Linked DNA regions of Arabidopsis thaliana. The protein of the gene in region 1 interacts with the protein of each later gene in a pairwise test. Each region holds a gene or a part of one and is shown on either strand. Other genes may lie near its edges. The genes, in order: AT1G53800, TOR1 and WRKY40.

The links.
Region 2: the proteins of AT1G53800 (region 1) and TOR1 interact in a two-hybrid assay, tested with the Arabidopsis thaliana proteins (one large-scale study listed by BioGRID).
Region 3: the proteins of AT1G53800 (region 1) and WRKY40 interact in a two-hybrid assay, tested with the Arabidopsis thaliana proteins (one large-scale study listed by BioGRID).

What each region holds. Positions count from the first base shown.
Region 1 is NC_003070.9:20,077,419-20,087,822, forward strand, and holds AT1G53800 (muscle M-line assembly protein), read left to right. Parts: upstream 1-4,225; 5' UTR 4,226-4,469; coding exon 4,470-4,494; intron 4,495-4,749; coding exon 4,750-5,127; intron 5,128-5,224; coding exon 5,225-5,277; exon of another isoform or gene 5,278-5,287; intron 5,288-5,369; coding exon 5,370-5,407; intron 5,408-5,502; coding exon 5,503-5,821; exon of another isoform or gene 5,822-5,837; intron 5,838-5,908; coding exon 5,909-6,210; intron 6,211-6,283; exon of another isoform or gene 6,284-6,298; coding exon 6,299-6,902; 3' UTR 6,903-7,133; downstream 7,134-10,404. Other genes in the region: AT1G53780 (26S proteasome regulatory complex ATPase), read right to left, coding at 290-295; AT1G53790 (F-box and associated interaction domains-containing protein), read right to left, coding at 2,140-2,194, 2,280-3,465, 3,553-3,634, 3,914-3,976.
Region 2 is NC_003075.7:13,577,677-13,589,295, reverse strand, and holds TOR1 (ARM repeat superfamily protein), read left to right. Parts: upstream 1-4,045; 5' UTR 4,046-4,225; coding exon 4,226-4,948; intron 4,949-5,273; coding exon 5,274-5,465; intron 5,466-5,941; coding exon 5,942-7,423; intron 7,424-7,517; coding exon 7,518-7,715; 3' UTR 7,716-8,010; downstream 8,011-11,619. Other genes in the region: PDIL5-4 (PDI-like 5-4), read right to left, coding at 100-140; TSB2 (tryptophan synthase beta-subunit 2), read right to left, coding at 677-852, 944-1,038, 1,126-1,568, 1,644-2,000, 2,376-2,732. UniProt on the Arabidopsis thaliana protein: Plant-specific microtubule-associated protein (MAP) that regulates the orientation of cortical microtubules and the direction of organ growth. Determines microtubule organization by modulating microtubule severing.
Region 3 is NC_003070.9:30,377,089-30,386,753, forward strand, and holds WRKY40 (WRKY DNA-binding protein 40), read left to right. Parts: upstream 1-6,472; 5' UTR 6,473-6,745; coding exon 6,746-6,832; intron 6,833-7,242; coding exon 7,243-7,584; intron 7,585-7,679; coding exon 7,680-7,796; intron 7,797-7,905; coding exon 7,906-8,268; 3' UTR 8,269-8,411; downstream 8,412-9,665. Other genes in the region: AT1G80850 (DNA glycosylase superfamily protein), read right to left, coding at 8,519-8,788, 8,883-9,024, 9,114-9,197, 9,295-9,352. UniProt on the Arabidopsis thaliana protein: Transcription factor. Interacts specifically with the W box (5'-(T)TGAC[CT]-3'), a frequently occurring elicitor-responsive cis-acting element.

The DNA.
Region 1 (10,404 bases):
AAGGTAAGAAAACGTCATCTTACTAGTATATTGAGTCTCCACCCGTTCCTGTGCCTGTTGGATCACCCGTTTTTGCTATGAAATCCTTTACAGTGTGGATAAGGCACTGATGGTAGTACTTTATCCTGACAAAACAAGTAAGTTAAAACCCTTAAAGATAGAGATGTTTCTTAGGTATAGGCAAAAGGAACACTTACTTGCACAGCTTAAGAAAATTATAGCAGGTGCTAGGGCATTAATCCGTGTAGAGATCAAGAAACACAATCCCTAAATCCGTGTCAATTAGAACTGACATGTTTATTAATTTCTCGAACCTGAAACCAAAAACTGAACGGTGGAAGGCAATTGAAAAGTTAGACTACTGGATAAACTGATCTTTACAATCCAAATCGAATATCCAAACACAAGTGTATCTCCAACAATCAATTACTCAGTTTAATCCCTAAATTATCTCATTTCCACTGATTTCCTTTGGGAATTCTCCAGAAAAGCTATCAAATTTCTCATCTAAGCATCAAAGGAACGATATAGCCAACCCTTTGCAAAGTTGCGGTTACAAGAAACATCAACCTGACCAAGATTCGCGAGCAATGTCGTCTTACTATCGTAATTGAATCAGAGTAGGATAAGAAGAGATGATCAATGAGATATAGGAACTAACCTCAGAAACAGATAGCGAGAGAAGAAAGGTTCACGGCGGCGATCTTGGAGTAGTCGGACTCTGTTGCGACTGAGAGATTCTCGAGCAATGTCTTCGTACTATGGTAATTGGAACGAGTAGTAGAAGAAGTGATGGTCGATGAGATTTACGAGCTAACCTCAGAACCAGAGAGCGAGAGAAGAAAGGTGCACGACGGCGATCTTGGAGTAACCGGAAACTGTTGCGACTGAGAGAGATTCTTCTGTTACGCTTTTAGCTCTTCTTTACGCGCCTTAGGCCTCTAAATAATCCCTTATAAAAAATCATTCAAAATGCTATAACATGCGTGCTGTTTTCAGATAGAAGAGATAATAAAACTACGTGATGTTTTCAATTCATAAGTACAACCCGGTTTAGAGATGGTTTGTTGATGAGATTTAAACCGGAAATAAAACCGATATTCTCTCAACGAGGCTATCCCTTATTCGACGGTTGCGAGCACAGCCACCGCCAACAACCCGAGACCGGAGCCACCAATCCCGCAAGCCGGAGGAACCGTATCTTACCGCAGGACCTAACCCCATCACATGAACCGCCGTCGCTGAAACTCCCGAAAAGAGAAAGCGAGCACGAAATACCTCCGACGATAGCCGTCATCACCCCTCAGCTGCGGGATCCGCCGCTCGATTTCCGTCACAGGGATGATCGGAGCCGCAAACCCATACGCACGATTGACCTCGAGCCACCATCATCTATCAGCTCGGAATCAATAGAAGTGGCGACCGTGAGCCACCGTGAAACCCTAGCCAACTCCGCTTCGAGCCGGAGAAGAAACTCGGGGAGCTACGTCGATCTCCTCTAGTCATTTCTAAACTGCGATGAAGCAGGTGAGAGCCGCCGCCGCCACCTTCTACATCCTCCGACGATCGGGGAGGTGAGGAAACAAAAATCAAACTGACTTACGAACCAATGTAAATGATTATTATTGGGCCTTTTTGGGCCCATATGTTTTGTCTTACATAAAGTATAAGGTTGTTTTTACATAAAGTAGCTTAATGACTGTTATTACATAAGATGTTTCTTGTTGGCGTGGCCAAAGTCGAAACGAAGACAAGTATTCCTAAACAATTTAAAATACAAGAGAATTGAAAATGAAAAGCAGACTAGTATGACCAACAAAGGAATAAAATTATCCAATTAACCAAGTTAAAATGATGAACAATTTCCAATTACAATCCTTGGATTTGCCTAGGAATATTTTCAGAGTGGAGACAAAGCCTATCGAAGATCTTTAGCGTGGTGGAGGTAGAACTGTTTGTTGTGGTCGCTTCTGTGAAAGGATAAAATCTGCCCATCTATTCAGTTGTGGAATTGTCTGTGAAACTGCTAGCCATGAAAAGCTGCATAAATAATTTACAAGTCGTAAATGTTAAGTACTTAAGTTGATCCTTTGTAACTAATAAGAAAGTTACCTTGCTAGCTTCAGTGGCAGACTCGACTTAAAATAGCCTCCCTTGAGGAGAAAATGTGTTGAATCCTCTGTCATAGTCAGTCCTTGGAACAAAAGAATGTAAGATAGACACTTATCAACTGAAAGAATAAACTAGACCAAGTATTAAAACAATAGTTGAACACTTACATAAGTTTAAAATTCTCAACATAGCCTAGAGAGGTGTAAACTCTCGTACGTTTGAACATTTCAACATCTTGTATTTGAACTCTTGTGAGACTCTTGCTCTCAAGGTTGAAGTAATAAATGTAAAATGCGTATATTAGACAGTACTGTGACAACACAACTTCACCTCCATCAGTCATTCCAACAATGGCTAACTCCGTATGCTGAACTAAGTTGTTCCACAAAGGAGGCAATGCATAGATACATTTGGTCCATATATTTTTCTCAGCATTTACTAGAACCCAGAACCTAAGACGTTTTGGAGACAAACATGTAAACTGAAGTGCACCTAGTTTACCCTTGTAGTTGATTAGAGTACAAGAGTCATTCATCAACATGAATACATGTATGTTGATAAAGCTAAACTTTTCAGACCTCACATCAAAGCACACTACCATAGAAACCCTTGCCCGCATATCGAACCCAGCTGTATAATACAAAATACCATCTATGCATATTCCATCAGATTTAGGATAATGGGGTTTGCATTGGATTGTTCTCCATAAATGGTTTCCATTCTCCAATGTCAAAACTTGATGCTCATCACACGTATTTGGGATATCATCAGACTTGATGCACAATACCTTTAGCTGTTTGCGGACCGGATCATATCCTAAATAAGGTCTTGTCTCAGTATTAATACTCTTCAGTTCCACTTTGGGTAAGGATACGGACTCTCCCGTGACTGGGTTACAAATTACCATAGTATCTAGATTTCTCTTACCTCGGCGACAGATGAATCCACAAAGAGGAGAACCAATTTCAGAAAAAGAATCTGTGGTATGTTGAACATGATAACGGGTGGGTACAAGAGACGTATTCTCGTTACATGGAATCTGAGGGTGAGGTGAAGAGAAGAAGAACAAATTGCCATCATCATCTTGGAAGGTGAAAAGAAGCAACGGTGGACGAATCGAAGACATAGTCATGAACAACTCCTTGAAATCAGGACGACAAAGTATGGATTCCCAGAGTTTGGATACGCAACGAAACCTAGCTATAGACTTTGCAGGAACTCTCGAAAAGATATCCATGAGGAGATCGATCGGGATATATCTAAAACAGGAAACATAACCCACCTGGAGAGGTTGCCCCTCTTGCATCATTTGCTTACTGAGAGGAGCTAAACCAGTATCAGACTCCTTGATACCTGCAAGTTACCCGTATATGCAATTTAATCATTCGGTAAATAGAAGTCACTAATGAAAGTAACACCACTATCTCAGTGTGCACAAACCACATAGATCGTTGATCTTCTCGGTGAGTTCCTTAATTTCTTTCTCCACTTTCTTGATAGGTGCAGAGTAAGGCACTAACCCCTGCGAAGGATTGAGATTTTAACAAGGTCAGCAAAAAAACATATGGAGACGCAACATATCAAACCAAGTATAACTATGAACGTTTTTTTTTCACTTGGATGACTTATTCAAACAGTGAGGCAGAGTCACCCAAAGCTAGTTAGTCATATAAGCACAAAAATGATCTAAATAGGATCATAAAATAGCAATTAGCTCGAAATTACTCATGAGAAAACATCAAACTGGTTCGCAAAGAAACAAAATACAGCAAAATTTAGGGTTCTAAAAGGGTACACTTACATAAGTCTTGACGAGAGCGATATCATCTTCGTCAAGCGGATCGTCTACAATATCTCTCACCATTTTTTTTTTTTTTTTCGGATTTTGATCGGAGATTTGAGATGTGAGAAGAAGAAATCGAATTACACCAACAAGAGTACCAACTTTGTCCGAGTTATTAAGGTCTAGTAAGTAAGGGCCACGTTAGGTGCCTTGTTGGAGAGGCCAGAGAAAATAATACCACGTGTGAATTGGGCTATGAAACGCGGCCCATTAGCCCAATATGCAGTGATCCGGGTCGGGTCATTAGAGCGAGCCGGGTCTCGTTATCCATCGCCTCCCTGGTTGCTGCGTCAAAGCCAGACACAAGTATCTTCGTTGAAATTTGCTTTTTGTGTGGCTTATCCTTGTCTGTCAAATTCCTGCAAAAACTCTCGCCTCTCTCAGACAGTAAGAGGAACATATTTCCTTAATGTATTGTTCCGTATAATCTTACAAGACATCCTGGTTGGTGTTGCAGAGAAGAGTGTTTCAAAGTTTCTTCCTTTTTCGTTTTCCTGGTCTGAATGAGCTCCCAATGCCTTCTTTAGGTACCTTTTCTGGTAAAGTTTCCAGATATTTACCTCTTAATTTTCTGGGTTTGTGTTTGGTTACTGTTTAGAATTCTACTTCAGTATTGAGACTCTCTTTCTTCTCAATTTTGTTTCTTTTCTATTGGATTTCATCATTCTTGAGTATCAATTATTTGCATTTGCAATCTTGGTCTAAATGCGTATAAGAAAAGACTAGTGATTCGCACAGTATCTAGAGAATGTTTACTAGCTAATGGAGATGACTCTTTGGTTTAATCTTTGCAGATATTGCTACTATCCAACCTTCATTTCAAGCTCATCTTGTTCCATTGGGGGCTCAGAGTATTATCCATGCTAAAAGTCTACCTAATCCATGGAGACAGTCTTGTTTCTCCAAGAATTTGAAATTTTACACGGGTCATAGTCATGTCCGAAGAGGAAAAGTTCTTATTACTGCAGTGGCCACTCTTGAAACCAAGTATCCGGCTCAAAAAGAAAACGAACGGAGCTCTTCTTTGTCTTCTGCTTCTTCGAAATCCTCAAATGGAAGTGCTGATGATGGCGAAGAACAAGTGGATGACAGAGAAAAGTTGAGAAGGATGAGGATTTCTAAGGCAAATAGAGGGAACACTCCTTGGAACAAAGGCAGGAAGCATAGTCCAGGTGAGTAGTTTTTGCTTATTCGTATCTTCAGCAATCTATCTTCAGTTGCTTCTAATTGGAAACATTTCATAATCTTTTTTCTTTTGCGTTTATGCAGAGACCCTACAGAAGATTAGAGAAAGGACAAAGATTGCAATGCAAGACCCAAAGGTGATGTCATGTAAGAATGGTTCTATATGTTTGCTCTATGCATCAGAATTTTCAACCCCTCATAGAACCTTTGTGTCTTTGTCCTTGTGCAGATCAAGATGAAATTAGCGAATCTTGGGCACGCACAAAAGTCAGTACCGGTTTTTCGTTTGCTTTTAAACCTGTTGGAGCTTTTGGTTTTTGTTATCATAATACTATCTTCCCAAATTTGCATGATTTTTACAGCAAGGAGACACGGATGAAGATTGGAGAGGGAGTGCGGATGCGATGGGCAAGGAGGAAGGAGAGGAGAAAAGTGCAGGAGACATGTCATTTCGAGTGGCAAAACTTGTTAGCGGAGGCTGCTAAACAAGGATATACAGACGAAGAAGAGCTTCAGTGGGATTCTTACAACATCTTGGATCAACAGAATCAACTGGAATGGCTGGAAAGTGTTGAGCAGAGGAAAGCCATTAAAGGAGCTAAAAGTAACAGAAGAGCGCCAAAATCTCCTGAACAAAGAAGGAGAATTGCAGAAGCAATAGCTGCTAAATGGGCTGATCCAGTAAGTTGTCTAGTCACTTGATCAAATCAAACTTGTTTGATGTTTTGTTCTTGGTCATATTTAACTCAGTTTGCTTTCTCTTATCAGTCTTACCGTGAAAGAGTTTGCTCCGGCTTGGCAAAATATCACGGTATACCTGTTGGTGTCGAGAGGCGTCGTAGAAGACCAAGGAGCGATGCAGAACCTAGAAAGAAGACTCCTACAAAGAAAAGTACAAGGGATTCAGAGTTTGAACGTCAAAGCCAAGTTCAAGTGGTGAAAGTAAGGAAGCGCAAAACACCTGCGTATAAAGATCCTTTGGCAAGTTCAAAACTGGAAATGATCAAAAGCATCAGAGCAAAACGAGTGGCGGAAGAATCAAAGAAGATGGATGCTGTGGAACGAGCAAGGTCAGTACACTTAAAACAGAATTGTTAATATTTCTCTGTTTGCAACTGTGAGCAGAAGTTAACAAGAATTAACCTTTTCTCGCCTCAGGCTTTTGATCTCGGAAGCTGAGAAAGCTGCGAAAGTCCTCGAGATTGCTGCTTTGAAAAGCCCGGTTGCTCAAGCATCGTTGTTAGAGAGTAAAAAGCTCATAGCAGAAGCAACACAACTGATTAAATCTTTAGAGATGAGGCAGATAGCTTCAGATGAAGATGGGACTTACCCATTTCTTCTTTCACCTCAGCCTAATGACAGTGAATCTGAAACCAAAGATACAAACGATCAAGAACGACCAGGAGAGATTAATGGAACACACACATTGCAGATCAACGGAGAGAGTCTTCACATGAACATGAGATCTAACGATTTACCGACTTTCGTTATAGAAGGTACTACAAACCAGTTTGTTTCTGATATGGAATCCAACACATCCCAAGGAGGTAGAGAAGATATCAAACTCGGGATAGTTGGGCAACCAAACGGAACGAGAGTCCATCCACCAGCAGAGTCTAATGGAGCTATCAGTCTTGCTGAGAATCATCCTCTTCCAAATGGTTACCACGGGATTGACGAAAAGGCTGCATCTTTGGAATCAGGAAACGTAACGAAGAAGTGGGTTCGTGGAAGGCTCGTCGAAGTCACAGAAGCAGCCTAATGTCGTAGCAATTTAGCAGAGAAAAGTCATATTTTTCAATTAGTAATTCAAAATTTTGGCTTATATATTGGTCTTATCTCTTATGCTTGAGAGAAGCAGTTTCCAGTTTGTGATGTGCCAATTGTATCTATAACTCAATTGTATGTCAGAGTTTCAGCTTAGTAAACAATTCTTCATAGCTTTCCGATTATTAAAGAATTAACCAAAGAAATAAAGCAAAGAGAACTACCAATAAACCTCATCAAAAGATACCAGACCAAAAAAAAGAAGAAGACAAAGATCGACAAAGATCATGTGAGTTCTGTTTGGAAGAAGTAAACACTTAGATAAGCTTCACATCCTCTACATAGTTTGTAAAAGCCTGAATCCTACACCCACGAAAATTTCTAAAAAGTTGATCTTCAAGTTTTACAATGGTGATGATTTTGCTCTCGAGATTGTAGTACAAAATGAAGAAAGGATGACGACCTCCTATAAAGATTGGGTATAACACAAGTTCGCAACTACCAGTCATTCCGGCAGGACGTACATGACTGGGTTTCACGAGCCACGGATAAGATATTGCGTAGATATACTTTGACCCCATTTATTTTTCTTGGCATCCTCCAAAACCCACAACTCCAAAAGATTAGTGTTAATATTAAAACTACAAGCACCTAATTTACCCTTGTAGTCGATCAACGTTAAAGTGCAAGAATCTATCTTTACTGCTATGTCATCTTGATCAATGTTGGTAAAACTAAATTTCTCAGACCTAACATCAAAGCAAACGATGGTACCTTCCCCCTTATAGATCATTGCTGGATAATACAAAACACCATCGATGCATATCGCAGTATTTATCAGCACTAACAACAGAAACGACATCACTTCTGGTTTTGGATCTCTGAAGAAACTGCCATTGGGCCGTGAGCCCACCAAGAAATCTCCTTTGGGCCACGAAATGTCAAAGCCGAAGCCCATGTCGCAGCAACGGTCTTCTTCTCCAAATACAGACAAAACCAGAGCTGGCACCATGACGTCTTCGAGCTGTACGAACTCTGCTTCTCCCATAAAACTCAGCAATCGATTCTCAGCCCTTGATTCAAGCTGATGTTCATCTATCCGTTCAATCTTAGGGTTTCTTTATGTTTGTCCCTTTGTATAAATAGTAAGCTTAAGCATTGTAAAACATTTAAGCCGTAATGCAAATCAAAGCTTCAACTTTCGTTTCTATGTTTTGATTTTGCCTTCATGGTATCAGAGCTCATGGAAATAAGATCCATGGCGCCGTATACTGTCCCACCTCTCAATATTTCCAACTGTGTCACAGTCACACTCAATCAACAGAACTACATCCTTTGGAAGAGTCAGTTTGAGAGTTTCCTGTCAGGACAAGGGTTGCTCGGGTTTGTTACCGGCTCGATCTCTGCTCCGGCGCAGACTCGTTCTGTCACACACAACAATGTCACTTCTGAAGAGCCGAATCCGGAGTTCTATACTTGGCATCAAACGGATCAGGTTGTTAAATCTTGGCTCCTTGGTTCTTTTGCTGAAGACATTCTCAGTGTGGTGGTGAACTGCTTCACCTCTCATCAGGTATGGCTGACTCTTGCCAATCATTTTAACAGAGTCTCTTCATCTAGATTGTTTGAGCTGCAACGAAGATTACAAACTCTAGAAAAGAAAGATAACACAATGGAAGTTTTTCTTAAAGATCTGAAACACATTTGTGATCAGTTAGCCTCTGTTGGTAGTCCTGTTCCAGAGAAAATGAAAATCTTTTCTGCTTTGAATGGTCTTGGAAGAGAGTATGAGCCGATTAAAACAACCATTGAAAACTCTGTTGACTCCAATCCAAGTCTGTCTCTTGATGAGGTTGCTTCTAAGCTCAGGGGCTATGACGACCGTCTTCAAAGTTATGTGACTGAGCCTACTATCTCTCCTCATGTGGCTTTCAATGTTACTCACTCAGATTCTGGTTATTACCATAACAACAACAGAGGTAAAGGACGGTCAAACTCTGGGAGTGGCAAGAGTTCTTTCTCCACCAGAGGTCGTGGTTTTCATCAACAAATCTCCCCTACTTCTGGGTCTCAAGCTGGAAACTCAGGGTTAGTGTGTCAAATCTGTGGAAAAGCTGGTCACCATGCGTTGAAGTGTTGGCATAGGTTCGATAACAGCTATCAACATGAAGACTTACCTATGGCTCTTGCTACAATGCGCATCACGGATGTCACAGACCACCATGGACATGAATGGATTCCAGACTCAGCTGCTTCTGCTCACGTTACCAACAACCGTCATGTCCTGCAACAGTCTCAGCCTTACCACGGTTCTGACTCTATCATGGTTGCAGATGGTAACTTCTTGCCCATTACTCACACTGGTTCAGGTAGTATTGCTTCTTCTTCAGGTAAGATTCCTTTAAAAGAAGTGCTTGTTTGCCCAGATATTGTTAAATCTTTGCTATCTGTTTCTAAACTCACAAGTGACTACCCTTGCTCTGTTGAGTTTGATGCTGATAGTGTTCGTATAAATGATAAGGCAACCAAGAAGCTGCTGGTAATGGGAAGAAATCGTGATGGTCTCTACTCGTTGGAGGAACCTAAACTCCAAGTCCTCTACTCCACGCGTCAAAACTCTGCAAGTAGTGAAGTGTGGCATAGACGCCTTGGCCATGCAAATGCTGAAGTACTCCATCAACTTGCTAGCTCAAAGTCCATCATCATCATTAATAAAGTTGTGAAGACTGTGTGTGAAGCCTGTCATCTAGGCAAGAGCACTAGGCTTCCTTTTATGCTATCTACTTTTAATGCTTCTAGACCTCTTGAGAGGATCCATTGTGATTTGTGGGGTCCCTCTCCAACAAGTTCTGTTCAAGGATTCAGATACTATGTAGTGTTTATTGATCATTACTCTAGATTCACTTGGTTTTATCCCTTGAAATTAAAGTCTGACTTCTTCTCAACATTTGTCATGTTCCAAAAGTTGGTCGAAAATCAATTGGGACACAAAATCAAGATCTTTCAGTGTGATGGTGGTGGTGAGTTTATAAGCTCTCAGTTTCTGAAGCATCTTCAAGATCATGGGATTCAACAAAACATGTCATGTCCCTACACTCCTCAACAAAATGGTATGGCTGAAAGAAAACACAGACACATTGTTGAATTGGGTCTGTCAATGATTTTTCAAAGCAAACTGCCTCTGAAGTATTGGCTAGAGTCTTTCTTCACTGCAAACTTTGTGATAAACCTCTTGCCTACTTCATCTCTTGACAACAATGAGTCTCCATATCAAAAGTTATATGGTAAAGCTCCTGAATATTCAGCTTTACGTGTCTTTGGGTGTGCCTGTTATCCAACTCTCAGAGATTATGCCTCTACTAAGTTTGATCCAAGATCTTTAAAGTGTGTTTTTCTTGGATACAATGAGAAGTACAAGGGCTATCGTTGCTTGTATCCTCCAACGGGTCGAATTTACATTAGCAGACATGTTGTCTTTGATGAGAATACTCACCCAT
Region 2 (11,619 bases), on another chromosome or scaffold:
AAGTCACATGCCTAGATCGATGAAATTCGAAATCTATATAACAGGAGAAAGAAGCTGGAGAAATCTGGGAAAAAAATACACAAAGTAACAGACATAAACCTATAGAAATCAACGGATTTGATCTTGCTCGTGGACACCATTTTCGTCGGAGAGGGAGTCAACTAAGAAACAACAGCTGCTTGGCTAAGTTCTAAAAGCTTCGAGGACGAAGCACCTCCCTTGTGATTTATCTTCAGCGTTCAGATTTGAAACTCCTCCCCAATCTACTAAATTACAACACTAGCCCCCTATGCTTTGACCCGTTTCCCATTTAACCCAAAATAGTTTCTATCAGAACAAATTAGTACAAACAATACACAAGTTTGAATTTACAATGATCACCATTAAAGAGCAGAGTTGTTTATAAATCATTCGATCAGAGTTGTTTTTTCTAAGCATTGGTGAAATTAAGATATGAAAGGGAAAACCAGCTAAGTCAAGAACAAAACAGTTCGAATTGCTTATAAGAACATCAAACGTTCCATAGAACATTTTTATTTATATGATACATTCATAACACTTATTCTCTTCTTAACCCTTTGATCCAAACTTTTGGATTCCCGACCATAAGCAAGGAGAACTAACAAACTACATAAAAGAAATAGCACTGTGTGAAAATGAAAGTAATCTACACTCTTTAAACTTCGAGATACTTGATTGCAGTCTGAACATCCTTGTCGCCTCTCCCACTGAAGTTTAATACCACTCTGGCTCCATCAGGTAACGTCGGACAAAGCTTCTCCAGATGGGCCAATGCGTGCGATGTCTCCAATGCCGGGATTATTCCCTCCAACCGAGACACTCTCTTGAAAGCTACACGCATAGATTAGAATACACAATGCAAGTTCTCATGAGTTGTGAAAGAAACATCTAAAAGGAGAAAAATGAAGTGTCAAGTAAGTACCTTCTAATGCTTCTTCATCAGTAACGCTAAAGTATTCAGCCCTTCCCACGTCTTTAAGGAAACTATGCTCAGGTCCGACTCCAGGGTAGTCCAATCTGATAACATCAACTTTTACTCTTTAGATACAGGTGACCAGATACATGTGGCTTAAAACCAACTTTGAACAGAGAAGAATCTCTTACCCGGCACTGATGGAGTGTGGTTCAATGATTTGGCCATCATCATCTTGCAGCAAGTAACTCATAGCTCCGTGGAGTACACCGACATCTCCTTTTGTCAATGTGGCAGCATGTTTGCCGCTGTCCAATCCAAATCCAGCGGCTTCCACACCAATCATTCGAACCTCTGTGTCATCGACAAATTCATGGAAGAGTCCCATAGCATTTGAACCACCACCGACACAAGCAACCAGAACATCAGGCTTCCCGCCCCATTTCTCCATCGCTTGTTTCCTTGTTTCTTTACCAATCACCGCGTGAAAGTCTCTGACCATCATAGGATAAGGATGAGGACCCGCAACGGATCCCAATATGTAATGTGTAGTCTCCACATTGGTCACCCAATCCCTTATAGCTTCAGAAGTTGCGTCCTTTAAAGTGGCTGTTCCAGAGTGGACTCCCCTTACCTACAAGCATCAGACTTAGATAACAATTTGAAAGCATTGCGATTTTGCAAGGTTTACGCAGAGAATTCACATCACCTCAGCACCGAGAAGACGCATTCTGAACACATTAAGAGCTTGTCTCTCCATGTCTTGAGCACCCATGTAGATAATGCACTGCAAACCGAAACGTGCACACACAGTAGCTGTGGCTACACCATGTTGACCAGCCCCTGTCTCAGCAATAATTCGTTTCTTTCCTAGACGCTTGGCGAGAAGAGCCTGAGCCACAGCGTTGTTGATCTTGTGAGCACCGGTGTGGTTCAAGTCTTCCCTTTTGAGGTATATGAGCGGCCCTTCACCGTTTTCACGGCGGTAATGCTCCGTGAGCCTCTCTGCAAAGTAAAGAGGACTTTCCCGACCAACGTAGTCTTTCAAGATCTCTGCTAATTCTCTCTACAGATTCATCAAACATTAGTTAGACATTGCCCAACAAACGAACTAACCAAAAAGACTTCTAACTTACATCACACAGAAGCATGTAATGCTGAAGAAACTAAGAATATGAAATGAATGTCGTTTCCAGATTTCTGGAAAAATACAACACTTTCCCAGAATTACATCCTACATCGCAAACAAATCGATTTGTCCCATACGGCTTAACATTGTTTGGCAGATTATTTTTTAGAATTGGAACAAAAAAATCCGTTTTTTAAACTTTATCACTAGCCATGGCAATGACAACGCTTGAATCAGAAACTCACAAAGCCAAATCATTTCGAATCGATTCAAAAACTATGAACAAGATGGAAACAAAATCAGCAGGCATACCTGGAAATCTTCGTCGGTGGCGAGCGAATAGAAAGCCGTTTCGAGTTCAGAGAGGGCGTGCATTAGAGTTTCGGGGACGTACTTGCCGCCAAACTTCCCGAAACGACCGAATGAATCAGGTCGTTGCCACATAGTCGGATCAGATCCAGCGGCCTTAATCTTCTCCGAGTCCGCCATGACAACAGCTGGGTCCTTAGCGATGGTGCAGGAGACGGAGAACGAAGAAGAGGACCGTGAGCGAGCCGATGGCAGAGGCGTAAATTTGGGGAGTTTGGAGGGTGATCTCAGATGGGTTAATTCGGAAGAAGCTGAAACGGAGGAGGGTCTGAAAGTAGCAGCGGTGCTTGCGGTGGCCATTTAGTGAATCTTTTATCTAGCTTTCAAACACGAAGACAAATGTTTTGCTGACAAAAACCTTGAAAGTGAGGGTTCTTTTTATAGATTCGTTATGTAACACTTAAGTTTTTTGACCAGAAATTCAATAAAATAGTGGAGGAAATCGGTAGTTCGGTACCACGTTAACTTATTTGTGAACAACAGAAAATGAGAGAAGAGTCAGAAGAGGTTGGTGAGAATAGGGCGGTGTACATTTTGGGGGTTGGAGTGTTTATCACATGCCTAATTTTAGTGTTATCTATTTTCTTTTGGTAAACGTCCTCTTTGGACAAAATGACGTATAGCAGTTTTTGCTAATATGATTCAAAGGCTTCTAATAGTGCTAATGAACGACGTACTACTACTCGTTTTGTTTTTGGTGGAGTTGATAAATAAAAGGATTACAAAGACATGTACTTATGGTTAAATTAATACAAATGAACTAACTATATAGTTTTAGTTTAATTTCATGATTTTTAAACGTTTTCCAAAACTTTATTAAGTTTCTTGTATTTTTTATTTTGTACTTAAAATAATAAAATGTGGTTGATCTTTTAATGACCAACATGCAAATAGTCAAAATGACACTAATCGATTACATATTCGAACCAAAAAAAATAAATATCAAATCGGTAAGGTTTGTCTCTTATCGATTTTACCGTCTTAACTTGTCATTTAGGCAGACCTTGTTGGTCCGATGAACCACCAGCCTCTGATCCATTTATGATTTACACACGTGCATTAAACACCAGACGAAGGCCTTTGAGTCGTTGAAGCTAAAAAATGAATGGTATATGCATGCGGACTCACTCGGAAGCCTCTCCAATGTGCATTGCTCGACTCTAACTCCAACAAAGTGTACGTAACGTAACAATCTTAACGACAACCTAAACAACTAATAGCAATCACAATTCCTTAAAGCATTCGTTAGTGTACCATGTAAAATTCCTTGAACCATTCATTATTGACTTATAGTACCATGTAAAAAATTCCTTAATCCATATATCAAGCCATGTTTTTGTACAAGAAACCAATTTGACATTTTGAATAATTAGATTCTTTATTTTTATTTTTTTTAACTTAAATTTTGAAATAAAAATTAACAATCCATAATGTAGAACGTGATGTCTCTAAATTTGATAATGTCCGAACTTATTTGCATGGATGTTTATATATTACACTAGAACTCGTATTATTGATTATTAATTTAAACGAAGTATCACGAATTTAAACTATATTTTCATACTTTGTCTTTCACACCCGATTTTCCGCGACAAATGCAAAATCCAGATACTGAAAATTATGCAATATTAAAATTTGAAAAAATTGAAAAAGTGAAATACTAATAAAATTGAGCGACACATTTCTGATTCCAGTCTTAACTGTTACACTTTCGAGTGTCAGATCTCGTCTTTCTTCTCCAACTCGTCTATCTTCTTCTCCGATTAATCTAATCTCTCGTCGGAGATTTAGAAATGAGCACACCTACAACTTCCGGTTCGGCGGCGAAACCGACGAGACCAGCACGGTCGTCGAGTTTAGCAACTAGGTCATGTTCCAATTCCGGTTCCCTCACTTCGTTCCAAGCAATGGTGGAGCTGAAGCAAAAGATCCTTACCTCAATCTCTAAGCTCGCCGATCGAGATACATACCAGATCGCCGTCGAGGATCTCGAGAAAACTATTCAATCTCTCACTCCCGAAACCCTACCGATGTTTCTCAATTGTCTCTACGATTCGTGCTCCGATCCGAAACCTGCAGTGAAGAAGGAGTGTCTCCATCTTCTCTCCTACGTTTGTAGTCTCCATTGCGATTCGACGGCTGCGCATCTCACTAAAATCATCGCTCAGATAGTTAAACGGTTGAAGGATTCTGATTCTGGAGTTAGGGATGCTTGTAGAGATACGATTGGTGCTTTGTCTGGGATTTATCTCAAGGGAAAAGAAGAGGGGACTAATACTGGTTCAGCGTCGTTAGCGGTGGGTTTGTTCGTTAAGCCATTGTTTGAGGCAATGGGAGAGCAGAACAAAGTGGTACAATCTGGAGCTTCAATGTGTATGGCTAGGATGGTTGAATCAGCTGCTAGTCCTCCAGTTACTTCTTTCCAAAAGCTTTGCCCTAGAATTTGCAAGCTATTGAGCAATTCCAGTTTCCTTGCTAAGGCTTCCCTTTTGCCAGTTGTTTCAAGTCTCTCTCAGGTTTGCCCAGAATCCTTATAATCTCCTCCTTGTCATGCTATAGACAGCAAATGGAAGAATATGGTGAATTTTGAATATCAGTGTCAGTAAGTAGAACACAAAGTTTTAGTAAATAACACTGCTTGAGGTTTTAGTCTTAATCCGACACTTTTTCTGTTAGGTGTTGCTGAAGTTTATTGTTTGATTTGAGCATACAAGTCTCAGTGAAATTTTGAGGGGTTTAATATCTCTCTCTCTCTTTACTTCTGGTAGTTCAATGCTAGTAGGTTTAGTGGTTAAATCTGTTTATGAAAAAGAGAAGTAAAGAGCAATTACTTTGATTCAGGTGGGAGCCATTGCACCTCAGAGCTTGGAGTCATTGCTAGAAAGCATCCATGATTGCCTTGGAAGTACAGATTGGGTAACACGAAAAGCTGCGGCTGAGACCCTGACTGCATTGGCATCACATTCAAGCGGTTTAATTAAGGAAAAAACCGATTCCACCATTACCGTGCTTGAGACCTGCCGGTTTGACAAGGTAGCTATCTTTTCTTTCTCTAATTAATCTAATTCCACTATTATCGTGTTTGAGACACGTCATTTTTTACAAGGTAGCTACATTTTTCTAGTAATCTAAAGTGGTCCTGTAGTGAAGTAAACGTAAACCCCATAAGCTCTTCAATTCCTTGTAAATGTCATCAGCAGCTCAGACATATCTGTTAGTGGTTGATAGTGCTTTTGGACCTTTCTCCTCATTTGCTATGCTGATGAAACGCACAAGCAAGTAGCTTGAAATTCTCACGAAGCCTTACCTTTTGATTTTTGACTACTATATGATTTACATATCTCAAGAATTTTCAGTCATCTATAATTTTTCTTTCACTACTGAGCATTGAAATGGCTGGATGTTTTATGAAATGGATTATGGCTCTCTACACATTCATCAAAATTCTATTACTTAGGACATGGAATGATCTTCTCAAGACACTTTACTGATGGAATTTTCTTGGACAGATCAAACCTGTTAGGGAAAGTGTGACAGAGGCGCTGCAGTTATGGAAGAAGATTTCTGGAAAATATGTCGATGGTGCTTCAGATGATTCAAAGCTTTCAGCTAGTGAGCAGCTTGGATCAGAGAAGAACGGGGAGAAAAGGTCTAATCTAGCTGATCTAATGAAAAAGGAGGCATCCGATGGTTCCACTCTCTCACCAGACTCTGCTTCTAAAGGAAAAGGATGTTTTCCTGAAAAAGCAGTAGGACTGTTGAAGAAGAAAGCACCTGTCTTAAGTGATAAAGATTTTAATCCTGAGTTTTTCCAAAGACTAGAAAGAAGGCAATCCGTGGAAGTAGTAGTTCCTCGTAGATGTAAAAACAATGATGAGGAAGAATCAGGACTCGATGATCTCAATGCCATGGGATCTTCAAATCGCCTCAAGAACACCCAAGCAGATGATAAACAGGTAAAAGGTAGGTTTGATGGGAACGGATCACAAGCAAGGACATCTGGTGATGATAAGGCTGGTGTTGTAAACGGAAAAGAGACACCTGGACATCACGCTCCTGTCTCCAATACTGATAACCAATCTGAAGGATCCTTCACAAGTAATAGAGGAAATTGGTCAGCCATCCAGAGGCAGTTGTTGCAGCTAGAGAGACAACAAACAAATCTTATGAACATGCTCCAAGAGTTTATTGGTGGCTCACATGACAGTATGGTGACCTTGGAGGGCAGAGTAAGGGGTTTAGAAAGGATTGTTGAAGACATGGCAAGAGATCTTTCGATATCATCAGGTCGTAGGGCTAATCTCACAGCTGGGTTTGGCAAATATAATAGTTTTGCTAACTATCCAACTGGAAAGTATAATGGTCGAGCTCCAGGGGAAAGAGGCTCACAAACAGATGGAGCTATGAGGGGGAGAATGTGGAATTCTGACATGGCAGATGACTGGTTCATACCTCCACATGCTGCTTCCAGAAACGGACAAGCCGGGCCAAGAAGATCACCTCGGTCAGAACAATATGAGAATGAGCACATGGGTAATGGCAGGAGAGGGTGGGATAATAAAGCATCTGGAACTATTAGATTTGGTGAAGGCCCTTCAGCAAGAAGTGTGTGGCAAGCATCAAAGGATGAAGCTACACTTGAAGCTATTAGAGTAGCCGGCGAGGATGGTGCAGTCCCTCGTCCAACCCGAGTGGCTGTTGCCCCTGAAGCTGAAGCCATGGGAGATGATGATAACGAAGGGCAGGAACGTGACCCGATATGGGTTTCATGGAGTAATGCAATGCACTCACTCCGTGTTGGTGACATTGATGCTGCTTACGCAGAAGTCCTCTGTGCTGGTGACCAGCACTTGGTCATCAAGCTGATGGACAAGACGGGACCTTCTCTTGACCAGATGTCGAATGAGATTGCCAATGAAGCTCTAAACTTCATCTCTCAGTTTCTGCTGGATCATAGTCTCTACGACATTTGCTTATCTTGGAGTCAACAGGTACATCTCTTACAGTACATTACTGGGTTCCAAGAATCACACATATGTTTTGTCTTTAACCTCTCTTTCTCTCTTTTTGCCATTCCATTTGCAGCTGTTGGAATTGGTTTTACAAGACGGTGCAGACACGTTTGGAGTTCCAATGGAACTGAAGACAGAGATCTTGTACAACTTACAAGACGCATGTTCGACTATGGATCCACCTGAAGACTGGGAAGGTCCTGCGCCGGAACAGCTCGTGGTGCAGTTGGCATCAGTTTGGGAAATCGATCTCCAACAGTTCGACAAGTAAACATGAGCTTGTGAACGGAGCTTTAACTTCAGTACCGTTGTTGTTCATAATTTTCGTACAGACAGGATTCAACATCTAGACTCTAGAGTCTAGAGTTTGATTTTTCTTATTAAAAACCCGTAAAAGATGACTGGAATTGATCAAATATTGCTATGTATTTGAGTTTTACAATATTTTGTCATTCTTCCTTTTGCTTAATTGAAAAAGCCGGAACTTTGAAGAACAAATAAATAAGACAGAAATTATTTTAAGAATATCATTAATAAATCCCTAATTTTATAACAGACTTTTAAAATAAAGTTTTTTGTTTTTGTTTTGGCCAGACAAAATTAATTAATTTATAATATGATACGAGTTTGAGACAATTATCCATTTAACTTTTTTTTTTTGGTAATCATTGATCCATGTAAATTTTAATGTTTTTATTTTTGTCAAATTGGAATTCTCGACATAGAAAACAGAAACAATTACAAATAGTTTTTGAATGTACACAATTTGCATGAGAAAAAAATCAAGAAATTACCTAAAAATAATAGTGTGTATATAAATAATCTTACTTGGTTTTGAGTTCAATCATCTAGATATGTAATTTTGTGAGATGCCAATACATTCATATATATAAATACGCATTTTCTTATCTTATACACACTACTCTAAGGCAAATAGCCAAATACCATCCACGCCAATTGATACATTCAATAGTTTTATATGTCATTGGTGTATATAGAAAAAAAAAATGTCATTTGTGTATATCAAAGCTTTATCTAAATGAAATATTTTCCTTAAAAACTGTATAATATATTAAAAGATTTTATTAATTCGACCATGATTTCAGTATTGTATAAATAAGTTAGGTTTTTTTCCCAACAATTCGATCTATTATAAAGCTTATTCATATACTTATTATGCATTAGTTTATGTATCGCCTTCCTACACTGAACAAAGGGGTGGAACAGGTGTAGGAATTCCAACAACTCCTGAAACTATATTCTCTGTTCTCCCATGGGAGCTCGGACCAGAATTCCACCAGCAACCTCTCGTTGACGAAGCATGTAGGAGCTGGACGTTTTTCTGTAAAGACCCTCCCAAAAATAATTACCCTACAATGGGTGAGACTTCATTGTACTGGAAAAAAAAAGAAATCCCATTTGATAAGGATTGATACATATGAAGTTTTTCATGCCATATATTCCCTCATTGCCAGTGTAATCTCAAAACCTCGAGGGAAACAGGGTGATTCAGAGCTTATCTATACTCCCACATGGGTGTGTATTTGTTCTGTTTGACTCTTAATGCGACCAAATCAACTTTTTGAATATATGACTTTGGCAAAAACAAATTTTTAAACTCCAACCCGTTTGTGAAATAAATAATAGAAATGATGAAATTACAGAGGTTGTGATAAACAACGGTTTAGTCTCATAGATGAGTCAGAAACTAGTGATTAGTAGTCACTAGTTGAAGAATTTTTTATCTTTCTTTTATTGTTACTCAAACTAGTGCTCCATAGTTGGCAACTGCTTTCATTGTCAAGAAAAAAAGTAGACCTCATTTAAAAGTTTTCATCAAGGTCATTCTACAAGAGTCCTACTACTAAAAAGATCCAATTATCGAGTCCCTGGCGTGTGTTTGGCGATTATGACTTTGATGAAAGGGTGTGAAGAGGTAACTCATCTCATATTTGTATAGCTATTTTTTGCTGGTGCAGAACAACACTGCACAATCAACACTCTGACATTTTAACATGATGTAGGTCATTGTGAATGATGAATGATCCATTCTCTTGGCATGCCGAGTTGAGGATGTTATATTTTCAACTCCCCGCCTATTTATCTTTGAAACCTATTGCAAAATTCACCAAAGGTTTGACATGGGGTAAGTTCCCACGTATTTGGTTGTATATGTGTCCACATAGCTCAAGGCTTGATGCCAAGATTGGAAGTGTAATCATGGAGCCTACTCAGCCCAACGTGTAAGAAGAATACATCTTAAAAAAATCTATAACATCATTCTTATCCTAGTCCTTGATGTTTGAAATTTATACAATCTAATCTCGTTTCGGCTTTATGCAGGCCTGAGCAGTTGACAAACCACAACAAAGGCTTACTTGTAACACACACAAGCGCAAGAAACTCGCTAATCAATTTTTGTTGTTGCTGTGGATTCCTTTCCTTGGTAAAACTCAGCTTTGCTTAACTCGAATCATTTTCTTGTTTTTGCTCTGAAAATTTACCTTTTACTTTTATTATGGAGGTGTTCTATCTGAAAGGTTAGATCCACACGTTGGAACATTCACCAACCAAATTAGCCTTTTGTTTAACCTTGGCAGTGCAAGCACAAATGAAACCTTTGGCATTAACCTTAACATCAGCTACAAATCCCAACTCTCCTACAACCACAACCATCACAGATGCCTTAGCAGATCGTAAGCTTTTTATATCAAATTCAATATTCTTCCGTTCTTTTATTTCTCGATCGCTGATTTTGTGCAATCTGATTCTCTACAAGTCTCAAACTTTTTCAAGATAAGTGGTAATCTGTTGGCAATGACTCTATCCTTTCAATGAATCTTTGGGGTTCTATACGTTAAGCTTTTAGTGTTGAGTACTCTCTCATTAGATAAGTTGTCGTGTTGCTTTGAGTATTGTTCATAACTTGTCAAACATCGATATATAATAGTGTTAGTTATTTATTGTTAATAAATATCAGTGAGATAAGATGTTTTTTTTTCTTTTCACAAAATGTTCTTTTTATTTAGAAACAGAGAGGTTCCAAACATTACAAAAGTGGGTACAGATAAGATGTCTTAGTGCTTGACAAATTTATTTATTGATGATGATCTTCAAGAGTTTCTGATAAAATCTACTCTCTGGGAACAGTCGATCGCATCCAAGCCATTTCGCTTCTCATTTTTGGTCCATTTGTTGACTATTTCTTGAGAGTCAGATTCATTTCTACTTACAAGATGACTTAATGGTGCTGACACGGTAAAATCCAAAAATATCATAATCCCATTTATATATGCTTTGGCGAAAACAATAACTTAAAGGGTTTTTTCTTTTCTTTCTTTTCTCTCTTTTCTGATTTACAAGTAACGATCACATGGAAAAAAATAGAAGTCACTAAGAAACTGCAACAAGGAACAAATTAAGAACACTAACACAGTTTCATTGATTCCGACCGTCCGGTTGATGTTCAGATTTGGTAGTGGAAATGAGATTGAAGAAAGAATCGCCGGAATCTGAGAGGTATTGTAGGAGACGACGAAAGCTCGACCTGAGAGGTATCTGAGAGGTATTGCAGGAGACGACGAAAGCTCTGAGATACTCAGAGAGCCGAAACTTGTCGAGGAAGAAAGAAGAAGAGAATCTGCGGTTCTATTGCTTACAAAACGAGGTCGTTTGCTTTCCACAATGACACACGAACCCTTTTCCGGGCGAATCCAAATACTTGAAATTTGGGCATTGTTGGGCCTAAAGGAAGCCCAAACTTGTTTATAAAAGCTTACGGTTCTCCGCCGTCGTCTCTTACTACAAAAAAAAAAAAATTATACCTTAAGCTTTTTACTCTGGTTCTTTCTTTGTGAACAACAACAACATCCCACCGGAAGAATTGATAAATTGAGTGAAACTTTATTCCTCTTCATCATCGACATCCTTCTCTTTCTTCAATTCGGTAAGATTTCTTGGAGCAGACTCTAGATCGATTTTAAACCAATTGTTATTTTTTGTTGTTGTCGGGTGTGTTTTTATGTCAATCTCTTGCTCTCATTGCTGGCCTGGGTAACCAAGTTTGAGCTTATTCCTTTTGATTCTGCCCGGATCTCTGATTTTTTAAGGTGAGATTCCTAAACATGTCAATTACTGTTTTTTTTTAAACATTCTCAATTTTCTTGAGTTGGTGA
Region 3 (9,665 bases), about 10 Mb from region 1:
AGTCTTTTACAGTTTTATGTGTGATAGAATTTTTATACTTAGTTTTTCTTTTTCGGAGAAAAATGATAACTAAGAAAATAAATAGTACTTTTTGCTTTACTAATCTCTCTCCTCTAACTGTCACACAAAATTAATTCCTGAATTTGTAAAAATCCCTTTTTGTAATGAAGCTTAAGACATGATTATATGAAATGGTTTTTGTTTTAGCATGTTTGAAAAGACCCCTTTTTGTAAGTCGTCCTAAGGCTTCTCGATTGTTTGAGCCGGTGCTAAAGAATACTACTATAGCTTTACGTAAGAATAGGAATGTTTATTTTGAAGATGGAAAGAATAAAGTTGTTTTCACTGTTTATTTAGTTGACTCATGAGATGCTTTTATTACCTTTAAGCCGTACGATCTAAGATATGAGCCATTGATTGCACTTAATATTATCCCAAAAACCGAAGCATTGAGAATATGCCAATGTTTGATTAATTTGACCTCCACAATCTACGGCCATTATTTATCAAGAAGAAAAAAACAGCACATTATATATTCTACTAAGGTACTCAAGTCTTCTACCACAATTTCGAAACTACAAATAGGGCACTATTTAGCAGTCAAGATAAAATCGGTAGATTTAATTATGATTTTTTTCGGAAAGTTGACTTAAGTACATACGTTCTTATCTTATTTATCATGCATTATATTTACGTGTTTTTTGAACATATTTAGAGAAGCTACCGGTGTAGAGTTATATGAAATGATCGCGACAATCAGTTATTGTTATATATGCGACCTTTTTTTGTTTGAGAATCTACAAGTGTAAAGTTATATGAAATGATCGCGACAGTATGTAATTTATATTTATGCATATGTTACAGACTTATAGTTATCACTATCACATGATGTACATTGTTACTGGACAATATATTAGTGAATTATAAAACTGGAAACATATATTTTAAACTATGTAAACTGGAAAAGACTTTTGATAAATTAAGTTATCTGATAAAAAATGAATCTACTAATCGAGAGAAGTACTAGTATTTTGTTTGGTTATTTAGTCAACGGGAAAAAGGGAGAAAAAAAAAAAAAAAAAATTAGTCAACGTGAAAATTTGACTGATGGCGTGAAACTGCGAGCGAGTATGTGAAATTCCAACTTTTTAAATGGTTGGGCTTTATATGTGAACGTTTATGGGTTTAGTTCAAGCGAGTAATAAATGAAATATATGGGCTTTACATATTGAGCAAAGAATACCCGTAACACACGCTGCTTATTTTCTGTATACCCACCATCAAATTTTGAAACGACGAGTGATACAAAATACAGTAGTTATATCATTTTGGTTAATAACAAATTCTATTTCGATATGAATGAAATGAAGCAATCATTCTTAAAAGTTTAATGCTTAATGGTGGGGTGTAATCCGATGCAAGTCCGTGTTGGGCCAATTTTTTTATTTAAGCTAATTGGGCTTAGTTGAATTGAATTGTGTTAATGTGAAATGAGCCATAATTGATTGGCTGAGCTTGACAGTGCACTAGATATGCGATAGCTTTTGAACATCGTTATTAAGTTTTAGTATTTAGACCCATCACCTGTATTATTTAGTTGGAAACCAAGAGAACTAGATAACAAAAAGAAAAAACAATTTCGTTTGTTAGTCATATGTTTTTTTCTTCTTAACTACTGAATATGAAATAGTTGATAATCTTATCACAGTTTTGCGAGACGTGTATAGAGATACAATAATTGTAAAGGATAGGAGTTTCACGTGTGAATATATGCTACTTTTTTCAAGTGTGCAAGCCTAAGGCTAAAGGGTAAAAATGAAATACATGTTCATAATTTTGATCGGGGAAGACAACTGGCCGAAAGAATATACTTACATGTTTGGATTTTTTACCATTCATATGCAATTATTTGTAGGTTTAGATCCAAGGGACCATGCTATAACAACGCAATGGGATCATACAATTTTCTTTTCTTTCATGTAAGTTCAGTCTCCAAGCACGTGGAAGTAATATATTCGTCAAAGTTTAGACTTCAATTACATCATGTGGAAGGAAAAAAAATTGATAGGAATAGTAGTATGAAACTACGTGTAATATTTTATTAGATACACGTTCGTGCGCTGAGTTATCTAATGAATTCATCAGGCGAATAATTCTTGGACAGTCCTTTTTGTTTTGGTCGGCCATCTAGCAAGACTAGTAGTAGACTACCATAAAGAAAACAAAACTATTTCAACAAAACAAAACAGACAAGTGACAAAAAAAAAACGTAAAGCCAAATCGAAACCATCGGAATAAAAATATTATTCTACAAAATAGATGTCAAAGAAAACGTGTAATTCACGGATACGCACTGTTACTCTGATGGCTAAGAGTATAATAATAGTATTTGAACACATATGAGTACATTTTGATGGCAACGTATATTAGTTGAAGAGTCTTTCATTAGATTTATGTCCCCATATGCAATTGAGTTCCACTTCTGTTTTATGTTAATACACAATGAAGTTTCTATAGATTTTGTTTTTGCAAAAGGAAATGTATATGGTATTTCAATACTCTATCACAACTATAAATAGAGCAAAATTGTGTATAACTATTATGCAGCCTTTTTCAACAACCAATGTAAAAACGAAGTACTAACTACTAAATTAGGAGTAGGAGAAAAGTAAAACAATTCGCAAGAATGGAATCTAAAATTTGGGATTAGTCTTTGATTTTCACACTTGGTCATAAAAATTAAGTGGACATGGACATTGAAAACGAAATCCAAAAGACCATTTCGAAAAAGAGGCAAGAAATTATATAATAATTAATATTTAATAGACAACACATGTTTTAGACTTTTACTAGTTCATGAATCGTACGGCCTTTTTTGTTCCTTTAACTAAGTTCAATGCATCCTCTAGTAGACACCTACTGCTTAACTAACCAACATAAAAAAATATGATTAATTCTCCCCGAATAGTATTGTTGTGTTACTTTTACACAAATTGAAAAAAAAGTAAACGACAGTTATTAGTTATTTTAAAACGAATGAAACATTATGTAAAAATATGTCAAATTAATATGCTTAGTTAATTAGAGAAAGTCAAGACTTTGCAAAAATGCATCCAAAATTAAACAAATGTATACCCGAAAGTTCGAGTGTGAATTAGTTCTGTCACTAAAATATTCCGTTTAAACTCAAGTCTTATAAAATGTACGGATATTATACCTTTTGTTTTCTCGAGCTTATTATACCTTAAAAATGTAAATTGGATGAGGATATTGAGGAAAAAAATAAGACTTGGAAAGAAATATTAGTAAGCTTTTATTAAAAAAAAAAAAAGAAGAGATAATTCAAGACCTGAAGAAGACAGGCACGAAGTAGCTAGGGGAGGGAATGGGGAAGTAAAACCAAACCACTCGTGCGTTGTGTGTTAGGATTTTCCCGAGTCAACGAGGTCAACGGTCAAAGAGGTCAAAGTCTTTAAAATACAGGAAAGGAATTGTGCTTTCGTTACTTGCTTTCTTACGTTCTTTCTGTCCTTTGGAGGAGAATAGTTTTGTTTTTGCTTTTGTTGATTTTTCTGTCCACTTTGTATATATTTTTTTTTTTTTATGACTTCATCACCTGTGACGTCTAATAATTCCATCACCGACTGCCCATTTCTTTTCTTTTTATTGTCTCTACAATTTCGATTATATTTTTTGGTCGGCAGCCAGTCTCTTCGTTCTTCTTTTTTTTCTCTGGACGTCCATTCCCAACATGCATAGTGTTTGACACAACAATATATGACAGCTAACTTTTAAGTATAATTCGAAATGAACTAAATCGTTGATTATACATAAGTTTAGGTTATGAGTTTTTGTCTTTTGCAATCTATTAATTAACAATTGGTTTGTGACCAAATTGTTCGTTGAGTGTTGTAAGAACCAACCTATTTCAATCAGTTTCTTAAAAAAGGAAAGGGAAGGCAAAAAAAAAAAGAACTATTAGCAGCCTTACTTTTCTATGATAATATTAGTCAGTAGGGAAATATATATATATATATATATATATATATATATATATATATATATATATAATTTGGACCGACGACTGATTACAATAACTGTTAAAGCTTAAACCGGCGGAACTTAATCTTATATAATTAATATGATTGTAATTAGCTGTATGATAATTTTATGTTGTTAATGATGATGTATTACCTTTTCGCTATAGGGTTTATAGATTACATCTATACTTCTGCATACAATTAGATATTAATAAAGTTATAAAAACAAATTAAACTGAATAATTGTGTGTGTGTTACGTTGCATGTGTTATTAGTTATGGAGAAATATGATTTACGTCTTCTGAAATGCTATCAACGATTGGTTTCAGATTTAAAGAAACTATCTGACCAAAATCCTGAGATATCTTAATTAGATATATCTATTTAAACTTTCAAGTTGTTATATGTTAAACAGTAAATGGCGTTTTCCGTATTACTCATCTAGTAGATCGTAGTAAGTTATATACGTTTTTACAATGAAAGGTTTCGGCAATGTAAGTTGTATACGTGGTACGAGTGAGTATCCATACTTCTACCGGAAAGAATAGAGATCAAGAAAAATGAATATAATTAATAAAGCTCTACCGAGGAAAAGAAGAGTGAAGGATAATGGAGAAAAATAAGAAAAAAGATGATGAGATCTGAATTAAGATTTTATTATTCACAATTACAAGAATAGGTACAGTCCTGGTTTGTGCTAAACCAAATTCGAATATCAAATATAAATTACTTATAGGTTCGACTGTAAAATGAGATATGAAAGAAAGAAATAATATATGATGATGTAATGCATGAGAAAGTCCAAAATGATCGGCATATGGGATTAAGCGATTCCATATAGTTAAGTCAAGTTACTATTTCAGATAAATGGATAAGTTTGTCGTCTATATGTTCTGTTATCTCCAAACCCAAATCTATAACATTGCGACATTTTTGAATCGTTAACGGCAAAATAAGTGGGGAGGGGGGGGGGAAGGAAAAAAGGAAGGACACTGAGATTTTGATAAAGTTCGGTAGCCAAATTTGTGCATGACTTTTAAGAAAATACGTATGCTGATCCAAAAACAAACAACTAAATAGATTTTAGTTTGAGAAAATCGAAGTAACAAAATTATTATTTAATATATAGTGTGAGAATTTAACAGCTACTAATAATTATCATAACACGAATTAAGTGTAATAGTAATATATGTAGGAAAATGGTTTAGCACCACTCACTTGATTAACTCGACTTAAACCAAATATAAAGTAATATTTATAGATGTAGTTGGTTGTATTTTTGCAAGCTTTGGTACTCGATATCTAAATTTTTAATGGAAAAATTAGTCGAGTGGTAATTCGTTATATATAAGAAAATATTTTGTTTGTAATTGTGCAAACTTTAGCATTGGACATCTAACTATATTCTGAAAAATCAGCGGAATGATAAAAGTTCGGATTTTCCTTCTTTTTATTTAAGTAAACATAATTGGTGTTCTGAAAACCAAAAGAAGGAAGAAGGCAATTAAGATTTGTTAAAGTTCGTCACGATATTGATGTCAAGAAAAAAGGAAAAAAAAAAAAAATCGTCACGATGGTATCGTCAATTTGTCTAGTGGATTTTGAAAAGCCGTGTGGGCTTGACTTTGACCGAACAAGGCACACGTATACATCTAGTACTACTGAAGAAATCTCTCATTAGAACGCAAACCACGTTCCGCACACTCTTAATATACTATTAGTCTATTACTATCACCAACTAGTTGTCATTTTTTTTGTCAAACGTGCTAATTAATTCACAAATAGAAGTATTAAACTTCCTAATTAAGCACGCCTTTACTACATTTCATTATTATTATACATGTAATCAACCATTTCTTTTATCCCACATGTCATTTGTAGTCCTGATTTTATGACTTTATGCATCAAGTTATCTTTTTTTTTGTCACTCCATGCATCAAGTTATCTAAACAACATAATTATTGTCTGAAAAATCTAAGATGATATACAACATATGTATTTAATTACACATTAGGCTTGTTTAACAATTCTTGATTATTTTTACTCTTTTTGGGTGAGTTCTTGATGGATGTCTTGAATTACAAAACTACATATTCTGAAAATATTAACCTTGAGTTTAGGCCGGCTATGCTATAACGAAAAATAAATAAAAGCAACTAACCCGACAGAAATGTCAACCAACTATCCAAAATGAAAAACAAACGTGGAGAGCGTCATATTATTAGTAGGCCAATCACACACCAAATGTTTGTTTAACAAAAAAAATAAGAATGTCAACCAACTATCCAAAATTAAAATCAAGAATACATTTCATATGTTTCCAATATGTTTTTCTTAAACAAAATTGGGACTAAAGATTGGACCAAATACGTGTGCGGGTGGACCCGATAGAAGCCGAGTTGAGTCTAAAGACTAAAAAGTAAACAAAAAATGATAAGACCATCACTTAGTTTATTGCATGAAAATGAAAAGCACATGCTCCTCTCTCTCTCTTCTGCCTCTTTCCATCTAGTTTCCTCTTAAAACTCCATTATATATAGAAACAAAATCTTTTCTCTCTTCAACAATCCCACCATTAAAAAAGAAGAACCCAAGATCGACTCTTACTTCGAATCTCTCTCAACTTTCTTCCTCAGCTTACGGGAACTTCCACACATATACATCCACAAGAACCCATATCGAAGATTCATCCTACATATATTTACATGGATCAGTACTCATCCTCTTTGGTCGATACTTCATTAGATCTCACTATTGGCGTTACTCGTATGCGAGTTGAAGAAGATCCACCGGTACGCTTCTCTCAGATTCTTCATTCTCCACATGTTCAGAAATTTTCAATTATCATGGAGCTTTTTAATCTAGTATCTCATCATTATGTATTATACACTTACATTTTTCAATTCGGTTGGTTTTGAAAATATATAAACTAACTCAACTATCCATAGACATTTTTTTCAGATGTATAATCTATAAACATAGATATTTTCTTATACTTCACAAATATTTTTATATATAATTGGCATAAACTTTAACAACAAGAAAAATTCGTTAGTAATTCATGTGGTGGGTTCTTGAAATATAGATGTAACGCTAGATCATAAAATCATATTAAACTTATAGTATGAAGAAAATAATATGGTTACTAACTTCATGCAATATATATATATATATATATATATATATAAATGATAAATTGCAGACAAGTGCTTTGGTGGAAGAATTAAACCGAGTTAGTGCTGAGAACAAGAAGCTCTCGGAGATGCTAACTTTGATGTGTGACAACTACAACGTCTTGAGGAAGCAACTTATGGAATATGTTAACAAGAGCAACATAACCGAGAGGGATCAAATCAGCCCTCCCAAGAAACGCAAATCCCCGGCGAGAGAGGACGCATTCAGCTGCGCGGTTATTGGCGGAGTGTCGGAGAGTAGCTCAACGGATCAAGATGAGTATTTGTGTAAGAAGCAGAGAGAAGAGACTGTCGTGAAGGAGAAAGTCTCAAGGGTCTATTACAAGACCGAAGCTTCTGACACTACCCTCGTAAGCATTCATGAAAATGATCAAACTTGGTATCTATCTATCTTTAGAAACTTTATTTTATATGGTTTACTGATTGTAGAAGTTGTTTCTTATAGGTTGTGAAAGATGGGTATCAATGGAGGAAATATGGACAGAAAGTGACTAGAGACAATCCATCTCCAAGAGCTTACTTCAAATGTGCTTGTGCTCCAAGCTGTTCTGTCAAAAAGAAGGTAATTGATAAAGAAAAAAAACTGACTCTCGCTTAAAATATGAATTGGCATAATACAAATTTGATAGACTTATTAATCTGATTTTGATCCTGTGTTTGTTTCTATTCAGGTTCAGAGAAGTGTGGAGGATCAGTCCGTGTTAGTTGCAACTTATGAGGGTGAACACAACCATCCAATGCCATCGCAGATCGATTCAAACAATGGCTTAAACCGCCACATCTCTCATGGTGGTTCAGCTTCAACACCCGTTGCAGCAAACAGAAGAAGTAGCTTGACTGTGCCGGTGACTACCGTAGATATGATTGAATCGAAGAAAGTGACGAGCCCAACGTCAAGAATCGATTTTCCCCAAGTTCAGAAACTTTTGGTGGAGCAAATGGCTTCTTCCTTAACCAAAGATCCTAACTTTACAGCAGCTTTAGCAGCAGCTGTTACCGGAAAATTGTATCAACAGAATCATACCGAGAAATAGTTTAGCTTCAAATTCCGTTAGAGTTTTTAGATTTGAATTTGTCATGAGTAAGAGAAAGAGAGTAGATTATAATCCATTGTGATACTGAAAATGTAACATGTAATCGTTTTTCATACAATCTCCAATACATTCGGCTTTAGAAACTCCTCCTAGTTTGACAACAACAACAAAAATATCTGTACAAATGCAAACACAGCACAACAGCATCCTAAGCAGCACAGAGTTAAAACTATTCTCTCTTGGTTTTTCTTTAATTACCAGTCTCGTCCTTTGTCATGCAGTCATGGTGTCTGAAGCAGCAAGTGAGATGGTCGTTTGTGAGACCAGCTGTTTGCATGAACGAGTAAATAACCGTTGGACTTACACTGCGAAAACCTCTGCGTACAAGATCTTTGCTTATCAACTCGGCTTTCGAAGTCTTCACAGGGACTTGACGTGGGTACCGGAATTGGCTCTGAGTAGGTTTCTGGTTAACGAAGTTCCAAATGTACTTGTCAAATGATCCAAATGCACCTATTATCTGCATTTGAGAAAACCAATAACAGTAAGAAAAAAAAAGGTAATGTTGTTAAGAAACACAGAAACTATGATCAGGCTTATAGGTGATATATTACCTTGCAAACTTGGTTAGCATTCTCGAGGATTGACCGTAGCTTTTGCTCTGATAGTAACGTGGTGGCAGCAATCTCAGGGGATGTTATCTTTTTATTTGTTAATTCAGATATTGCAATTGGATCAAAGTCCATGAAAACCTCCCTGTTTAACACAAGGCAAAAGCATTTCGAGATTCGAGCTCATAAGGAGAAGTCAGAAGATGTAACCACAACAGCGTTGGTACTAGTTACCTGAATAGTTGTCTTTTGGAAAGAATGTCTTTCCAAGATAGTTCAGCAAGAGCACCAGACAAGCTTAATAACTCGAAAAGTCTCCTGCAAACAATTCACTGAATAAGAGAGTGTATAGTCCAAAAAAGCATCCCTCTGGTCAGTAAAACATAAGTCAGTATAAAGAGAAAATATCACGTACTTGTCATCATGGACAGGAACTCCCCATTCTTCATCATGGAAGGCAATGTAACATTGATCTTTTACAAGAAACAAAAAAAAAGAAAGAAAAAAAGTACCGGTTAGTCATAGCAGATGAAAAGATTCAAGCCTTTGGAAGTTAAGGCCTTAGCCTCATCGGCGTAGAGAAATGACAAAAACTAATCTCTACAAATTCCTGTTTCTGTGGTCATTGTTCAATAGAGATATGATCTGCCTGATCACAAAACATAGTCAAGATTTGCTCTCTACATTCACAAACTAACTTCCAAAGCAAGAGAATACAAATCTTTTAAACTATTCAACTTCTTTATGGACATTGACAATTCACCGGTAAAGCCAAGCATCACTAGT